Linked DNA regions of Sus scrofa. The protein of the gene in region 2 interacts with the protein of the main gene of each other region in a pairwise test. Links are inferred from orthologs where the notes say so. Each region holds a gene or a part of one and is shown on either strand. Other genes may lie near its edges.

Evidence for each region.
Region 1: the proteins of NDN (region 2) and MKRN2 interact in a two-hybrid assay, tested with the Homo sapiens proteins (2 studies listed by BioGRID and IntAct). The link is inferred for Sus scrofa from reciprocal best matches to the Homo sapiens genes NDN and MKRN2.

What each region holds. Positions count from the first base shown.
Region 1 is NC_010455.5:68,544,888-68,549,471, forward strand, and holds the start of MKRN2 (probable E3 ubiquitin-protein ligase makorin-2), read left to right. Parts: upstream 1-1,594; 5' UTR 1,595-1,627; coding exon 1,628-1,872; intron 1,873-4,584. UniProt on the Homo sapiens protein: E3 ubiquitin ligase catalyzing the covalent attachment of ubiquitin moieties onto substrate proteins.
Region 2 is NC_010443.5:142,410,775-142,414,256, reverse strand, and holds NDN (necdin), read right to left. Parts: upstream 1,570-3,482; coding exon 592-1,569; downstream 1-591. UniProt on the Homo sapiens protein: Growth suppressor that facilitates the entry of the cell into cell cycle arrest.

The DNA of each region.
Region 1 (4,584 bases), on a different chromosome or scaffold from region 2:
AAAAATTCATCTAGGCACCTGGGAATAAATCTAATAAAAGTTTCTGAAGACTTGTACACTGATAATTGCACAAATTATCCAATATACTTCCTAAATTTCTGAGAGAAATTTTAAAAGTTCCAAGTAATTGGAAGTATATACAGGAAGTATATACATGCTCATTCCTCAAAAGACTCAGTATTTACAGTATTTACAGCAAAGTAAAATACAGCTATCTATAACAACATGGGTGGATTTCACTGGAATGTTGGTCAGAAGAAGACAGAAGAGTACACACGGAATTTTTTCATTTATGTGAAGGTCAAGAACGATCGAAACTAATTCATGGTGGTGGAGGTGAGAATAAGTAGTTACCTTTTGGAAGTATTGACTGGGAGGTGGCATAAAGAAGCCCTCTGAAATGTTGATAAAGTCCGTCCTTTCTGTCTCTTTCTTTCTTTCTTTCTTTCTTTCTTTCTTTCTTTCTTTCTTTCTTTCTTTCTTTCTTTCTTTCTTCCTTTCCTCCCTTCCTTCCTTCCTTCCTTCCTTCCTTCCTTCCTTCCTTCCTTCCTTCCTTTCTTTCCTCTTCCTTCCTTCCTTTCTCTCTCACTCTTTCTTAGGGCTGCACCTGCGGCATATAGAAATTCCCCAGCTAGAAGTCGAATTGGAGCTGCAGCGCTGGTCCACACCACAGCCTAAGCCACTGCAACGCTCCAGTTGCGGTCGCCTCTGCGACCTACACCACAGCTGATGGTAATGCCGAATTCCTAACCCACTAAGAAAGGCTTGGGATTGAACCCGCATCCTCATAGATACTGTGGGGTTCGTTGCCTCCGAGCCACAAGGGGAACTCCCAAAGTTCTCTCTCTAAATCTTAGCTGTGGTTTCAAGAGCGGATATGTAAAAATTCATACAGGCATGAGTATTTTGTGCACCTCACTGTAGTTTATGATGGCTCAATTTTTTACAATTAAATTAAAAAAAAAAGCAATGGGAAAGCATTGAAAGGGTTAACGGTGGTGAATGACACGACCCGATTTATGTTTTAAAAACAGGTTTTGTGTGACTAACAAGAAAAGGGCAGGAGCAGAAGCCAGAAGACTAGTTATGAGGTCACTGCGTGGCCCAGGCAAGGAGTGACGTTTGCTTAGACAGGAACCACGACCGTGGAAATGAAGAGGACGCGTTGGAGAAAGGTGTGAAAGCAGGCTTCGCAGGACATAGGCAATTAGACCAAAAGCCACGAACGTCTTTTTGGGTGACTACCATAGGAAATGGAAGAACAGCTGAGGAATGCCGAGACAGAAAATGAGCTCTAAAACTTGGGGTGGGAGTAGAGACTTTGGGCTAAGGAATTCCGTAAACGGGAGGCGAGGTTTGGCAGGAACAGTAGAGGCTGGTCTGGGAAAGGGGCCCGAGGGACTGCACATGAGGATGGGCAGGGGTATGCGGGATTAAGATGCTCAAAGAGGCGGGAGCTTGGCCTCGGGACTGGGGAGGTGATTCTTGGGAAGCGAGAAGTCGCTAAGGAACGCAGCTGGAGATAGGGTCAGACCCGTAGGAACTAACTGTCGGCACCCGGACAGACCCGCAGGACCAGGATTCTAGTGTGGCCCCGCCCACGAGGCTTGGAAACGCTGTCCTAGGAATGCAGAAGTTGCGGCCCCGCCTCACCTCTGGGGCGGAACCAATTGTGACGGCTGCGAGGTTTCTTGCCGGCGCTACAAAGGTGCGGCCCGAGAGCGGCGGAGTGCGCCGGCGTGACGCGGCCGCGCGGAGTGGGCGGGGCCAAGACGGCGGCGGCTTGCCAGATCGAGAGCTAGAGCGAGAGGCTGTTGTGAGACGACGGCTCCCCAAACCGACCGCCATGAGCACCAAGCAGGTCACCTGCAGGTCAGTGCGCGGCGCCGCAGGGTCCCAGAGCGCCGGGTCGCTTCGGGCCCTTCCAAGGGTGCGCCCCAGTCCTGCGCCAGGGAAGTAGGCTGGAGCCGGTTCGTGGAAAGTGGCTCCCGGTTCATCATCCGACTTCCCACGGAGTCGGTGCGGCCGGAGCCGGGGACCCGGCGGGGCGTGGCCGAGTCTCGTGGCGGAGACTCGGTCGAGGCCGGCGCGGGGGGCTGTCTACGGGTTCCAAGCGTGGTCCCTGCCCTGGAAGGAAGGGGTGCTGGCGGGGCCGTGCAGGGTGCTGGGCCCTGGAGGCGACCCCAGGACTGTGGGTGTAGCTGGAAGAGGTGACTTGGAGGAAAGAGGTTCCAGGAGGTCGTTTGCAAATGGAGATGCCACGCAGGGTTGGGCTGTTAATCGTCGGTTAGGGCCTCAAAGAACTGGAGCCCCGTAAGCGGCCTTCGTTTCCTAAGAGTTTGAAGAACTTCGGTGCAACCTAAACTTTATAGAGAGTTAGCAAGTTAAGAATTGTGTGGAAAGTAGCATTTACTGAAAGTTCGTTCTTTGTCCTGCATATTTCCAGGTCCCTTGCATTCGTTGTCACTAGCCCTCACCGTAACGTTTCTGGGCAGATGTTATTCCTATTTTACAGCGTGGGAATAAATGATGCCCTCATCTTACTGAGGGATCCATTTCCGTGGAGAAATACAACAGCAATGGGTGGATGGTTGTAAAAAATTCAAAATTGTATGACTTCACTGCTCCTGTTAAATAGAAATAGCTTGGTTTTGGTTAACACCTTCCTTCCTTGGTAAGCATGTGGTTTGACGGTATTGGGATCCTAGTCTTAATGAATTTGGGAAATAGTTTTTATTTTAATTGGTTTCAGTTAAATCTGTATGGGAAACATTGATTAGAGGAAAAAAAACAGCTCACAGTTGTAGTTTGGTTATGTAATGAACAGTGTATGTAAGTAGCATCTATGTTGTTACTTCTTTTCATTAGTATGAATAGTTGAGAAGTGACTGTGTAAAAAGTTTCAGCTAAACTGTTTAAACTGTTCAGCCAGTTTATCCAGCCCTCGATAACTTAACTTATATTAAGCAGTTGTCAGAAATTTACACTTAGTGTCTATACAAAAGACTTTTACCAGGTTATCTGTTCTAGAAGGTCTCTTGTGAAGACCTATTCGTGTGTTTATTTTTATTTGTATGACAAAGCAGTATTCTTAGTCATTGTGGACTGTACTTATGGCTGATGCTCCTAAGATATGTCAACAAAACTGCCTGTTTATATGATGCTTTATAACTGAATCTCAGCTCTTCGTGGTACCCAATTTTACAGGTGAGGAAACCTTAATGCTCAGACTTAGAGCTTGTCTCTAATTTACATCTAACTACAGGAACAAAAACTTAAGTCAAGATCATCTTGGGTTTTTTTTTGTTTTTTGTTTTTCCTTCTACACTGACCTGAAAACTTTAATTCTGTGTTTCCCAAACAGGGATGCCCTGCAGAAAGTTAGTGCTTAGAATCTAGAATGGGTTGGCATGTTGGGAAGGGATTAGTTCTGTTGAAGTACTAACTGATGTTCATTGTAGGGCTTGCAATGTGCTAGGTGCTCTTTGAGGTTCTTTACCAGCTGTAATTCGTGGCACAATCCAGCACTATGCACCAATGCATAGATTGATTGTGAAACAAAGCCTCAGCATTGAAGTGACTTGCCAGGGTTATCCAGCTTCCAGGTGGCTGCAGTATGGCTTCAGAGTTCATGCTCCTGTAGATTCTATGGCCCATCCAAATCCATAGGAAAGTCAAAAGAGATCACTTCAGTTCCTGTCGTGGCTCAGTGGTAATGAGTCTGACTAGTATCCACGAGGATATGGGTTTGATCCCTGGCTTCGCTTGGTGGGTTAAGGATCTGGCATTGCTGTGAGCTGTGGTGTAGGCTGGCAGCTATAGCTTCAATTTGACCCCTAGACTGGGAACTTCCATAGGTCGCAAGTGTGGCCCTAAAAAGACGAAAAAAGAAAAAAAAAAAAAAAAAGGTCGCTTATAAAGGGATGTGAAGGAGTCTGACCTCATAAGGACTACCTTGCCAAATAAAAACCAGAACATGTATTTATTTATTTATTTATATTTTTTTCTTTTTAGGGCTGCACCCATGGCATATGGAGGTTCCCAGGCTAGGGGTTGAATCGGAGCTATAGCTGCCAGCCTACACCACAGCCACAGCAACTGGAGATCCAAGCCGTGTCTGAGACCTACACCACAGCTCACGGCAACGCCAGATCCTTAACCCACTGAGCAAGGCAAGGGATCAAACCTGCAATCTCATGGTTTCTAGTCAGGTTCGTTTCTGCTGTGCCACCGTGGGAACTCCAAAAACCAGAACGTGTATTTAAATGGGAAAAACAGCGATATTACCAAGAGTACCAAGTTTACATTAATGTGCTTATGATGGCAAATGCTTTTCTCACTTCATCATCTTATTCACTCAAGTCTTATATCCAGATATTAGTAACTTACAGGAAATGTTCAAGGCATGATTTACTGGGGAGACTACACCTAAACAAGGTAATCGGCTGTTTTTGGTTTGCTTTCCTGACTGTGGGATGTGATATACATGCTTATTCTGAATGGCAGCAAGACAGAGTGTTAGTTTTGCTTCCGTTCTAATATAAATTATTTCTCTCCAAGAGATGAATGTGAAATGCTAGAATT
Region 2 (3,482 bases):
TTTCCATAAAAATGACTGTATCACAAGAATCTTTAATGTTTAAAGTTTACTCATGGTGGGGTTGTTTTTGTGTTTAGTAAACTGTGCCAAGTGTCCATACTGAGCCCCTTTAAGTCCACATCACCACACTCCAGACAGATGTTTCCTGTGCCCAGCAAGATCACAGAGAGAGAGGTCTTGACTTTTCTCTTGGTTAGACCAGCTTTACTGGTGAGTTCGTCCAAACTCTCTAGTACCTGTCTACCCCCATACACATCATCAGTCCCATGTAAAAGAATAAGATGGAAAATGTCTCAATGTATTTCATAAGTTTAGCACGTCTCTGGTACAAAAAATTCAAGAAAGGTAGCACAAAAGCGAAAGCACCAACTGAGCTTACTTATAAACAAACATGCATGAATCCTACACACTACCTAATTATTACTGAAATGAATACAACATTGCATTAAAAGGTATAAAAGCACTGTACTGAAAACGTAAAAGTTACACGTGAAATACTGCACTGTAAATCCTGAATACTCTAATGTCCCACCCCCACCCCTCCACCACCCTGGTGAGGGTCAGAAACCATCAATCTGCCTCCAGACCTTGCTAGTCCTCGGAGACACTGTTGCGGGGGCAGTGGGCAGTGGGGTTGGCCTCCCGCAGGGCTCTGGCCTCTTCCAGAGCTTCCCTGTAGCGGGAAGGCCAGGCCTGGGGGTCTTTCTTAAAGACCCTGGCCAGGAACTCCATGATTTGCATCTTGGTGATTTCACGGCTGGCACGGGAGCCCCAGAAGAACTCATACTCAGGGGGCTCGACGTGGGGGACGCGCTGGTACTTCAGGTAGTTCTGCTGTACGAACTCCTCAGTGATAAGCTTTCTCACATCTCCAAAGGTGGAGTGCTTCTTCCAGGGCCTCAGCCCCAGGATGCGCAGCACGTTCCACACAGCACTCTCACGGGCACCGCGACCCTTTACGTAGATGAGGCTCAGGATCATCAGCAGGAGGCCTGTCATAGGCATGCGGTTGCTCAGAGCAACCCTGTCCAGCTCCTCAGGCGCCAGAGCTTTGACCAGCGAGAACTCCATGGTGTGCAGGCTGGTCAGCCTCAGGTGCAGCCCGAACACTCGGGCGAGGATGAGGCTGGTGCGCCTCAGGATGCTTCTGCACCACTTCTTGTAACTGCCGATGACATCTTTCACCATGTCTGGGAACCAGATGATCATCCTTTTCTGGTCCTTGACCAGCACGTACCACATGAGCTCATGTGCCTTCTGCACCAGCTGGGCCGGGGCCGGCGGCGCTGGGCTGGGCTGGGCTGTGCTCCGGGCCTGGTGGGCGCGGCCTTCCTCCGCGGCCTGCTGTAGAGCCTTTGGGTCTCCCTCTTCGCTCAGGGCCTGGGGCGGCGGCGAGGCCAGAGGGGCGTCGGGTGGGCCTACAGGAGGGATCTCTGGCCCTGCGAGGGTCGCGGCCTGGGACGCAGGCGGAGAGGGCCCCCCGGCCACCCCAGGGCTGCTGTGCACCTCGGAGTGGGAGGCATCGGCTGCAAAGTTGGGGTCACACACGTCCTTACTTTGTTCGGACATGTTTGCTCCGTCTGGCAAGGGCTCGGCCGCTGCGTCCAGGAGCTCTTCGACTCTGCGCTCCCTCGGTGGACTCCTGGAGAGGAAGTGCGCGTTGCTGCGCGCGGCGCCTTCCGCAGCGGCCGGGCGGGGCGGGGCGGCGGCGGGACAGGCTAGTGCGCCTGCGCATCCGTGGTCTGTGGGGGCCCTGCCGGCTGGCGGTAGGGGCGGGGCGCCTGGAGGGCTGGGGTGTATTGAGGTCCCAAAGGGGTAGGGGGCCTAGTGGAATACTGGCCTCATGACCCACAGTCGTCCAGTTTGGGCTAAGGAGGCGGTCCTGGGGCCGGGGGGAGGAGCGACATGGGTGAGCACTGGACAAGGAGCAAGTTTAAGAGGAAAGATGGAAACTTAAGCTTCCAAGATGCTGAAGCTGAATTTCTTAGGAAATGTTCAATTGGGTATATGTAGAATCAAGTTAGATGTGAGTTTCAGAGAAAGGCCCAGGTTGGCACATAAGCTTGGGTTTTGGATAACAAGTGTGAGAATTTAAACTGACAGAACAATCAGGGTCACCCAAGAAAATGTGTCAACTCTGAAAAAGATGCGGGATATCAGAATCATGAAAGATAGCAATAAAAATTGATTGATTCACTGCGAGTTCCCATTGTGATACAGCGGAAAGGAATCTGACTAGTATCCATGAGGATGCAGGTTCAATCCTGCCCTTGCTCAGTAGGTTAAGGATCTGATGTTGACATGAACTATGGTGTAGGTTGCAGACAGGGCTTGGATCCAGTGTTGCTGTGGCTGTAGTGTCAGCTGGCAGCCGTAGCTCCAATTCTACCCGTAGCCTGCTATGGGGAAAAAAAAAAAAAAAAAAAAAAAAAAAAAAAGATTTCCTGACTGCCAAGTCCAGGGGGTTATGAAGGAAAAATGCAGAATGTAGTCAATACATGTACAACTGAAACTTTCTTGAAGACAATGTACTAATGATACTGTTAGGTGCTTGAATGGTCATTGATTTTGGTTTTTCTACTTCCCTTGGGTAATTTTGATGTAATTTTAATTTTTTGATTAGGATCTCATCACACAAAGATTGCTGTATTTATTAGCACAGACTAGTATGATGTCTTTCTACTTGTTTGTCCAGGAAGGACCCTAATTCCCCTTATGACTGATGTAGCCTTCACGGGTGTGTTCGTGTAGACCCCACCTCTGCGCTTTCACACAAACTGACTGGTTCCAGAAATTGACAGCCACACCCAAATCCCTCCTAAGACTTTTTTATTTGTCTAACTAACCAATTAGTTAATTAACACAAGTTCCCTAGATTGTATATGGCAGACAGTCTCAGGTGACCAACAATATGAGATGCAATGTACTGGTGGTTGTTTTTCACTTTTAGAACATGGATATGCAGTGGGCAAAAACAAAGCTGACACTCCCAGAGAAGGATGGGTGTAGGAACCTATGGATCCAAGGTTTCTCAGGCTGATCAGCATCCCTGGTCTGAGCCAATATGGTATTTCAGACCTTACTGAATTTCCTCAAGCCAACAGCGTCTTGTTTTTTTTTTTTTTTTTTTTTTCCCCTTTTTTGGCTGTCCCCTTGGCATAGGGAAGTTTCTGGGCCAGGAATCAAATCTGTCCAGGAGCTACAACCTATACCATGGCTTCAGCAACACTGAATTCTTAACCCACTACACCCTGCCGGGATGGGATTGAACCAACACATCCACAGAAACAAGTCGAATCATTAACCCACTGTACCATAGCAGGAACTCCAAGCTAACAGCTTCTTAAATGTGCCCTCTTGAGTCTGGTTATTGTCACTTGAAACCCAAGGTGTGTTTACAATATTGACTTTACATTTCTACAATCCTCTCTTTTTTTTTTCTTGTATCTTCTTTTTCATTTCTCACTCTTTTTTTTTTCTTT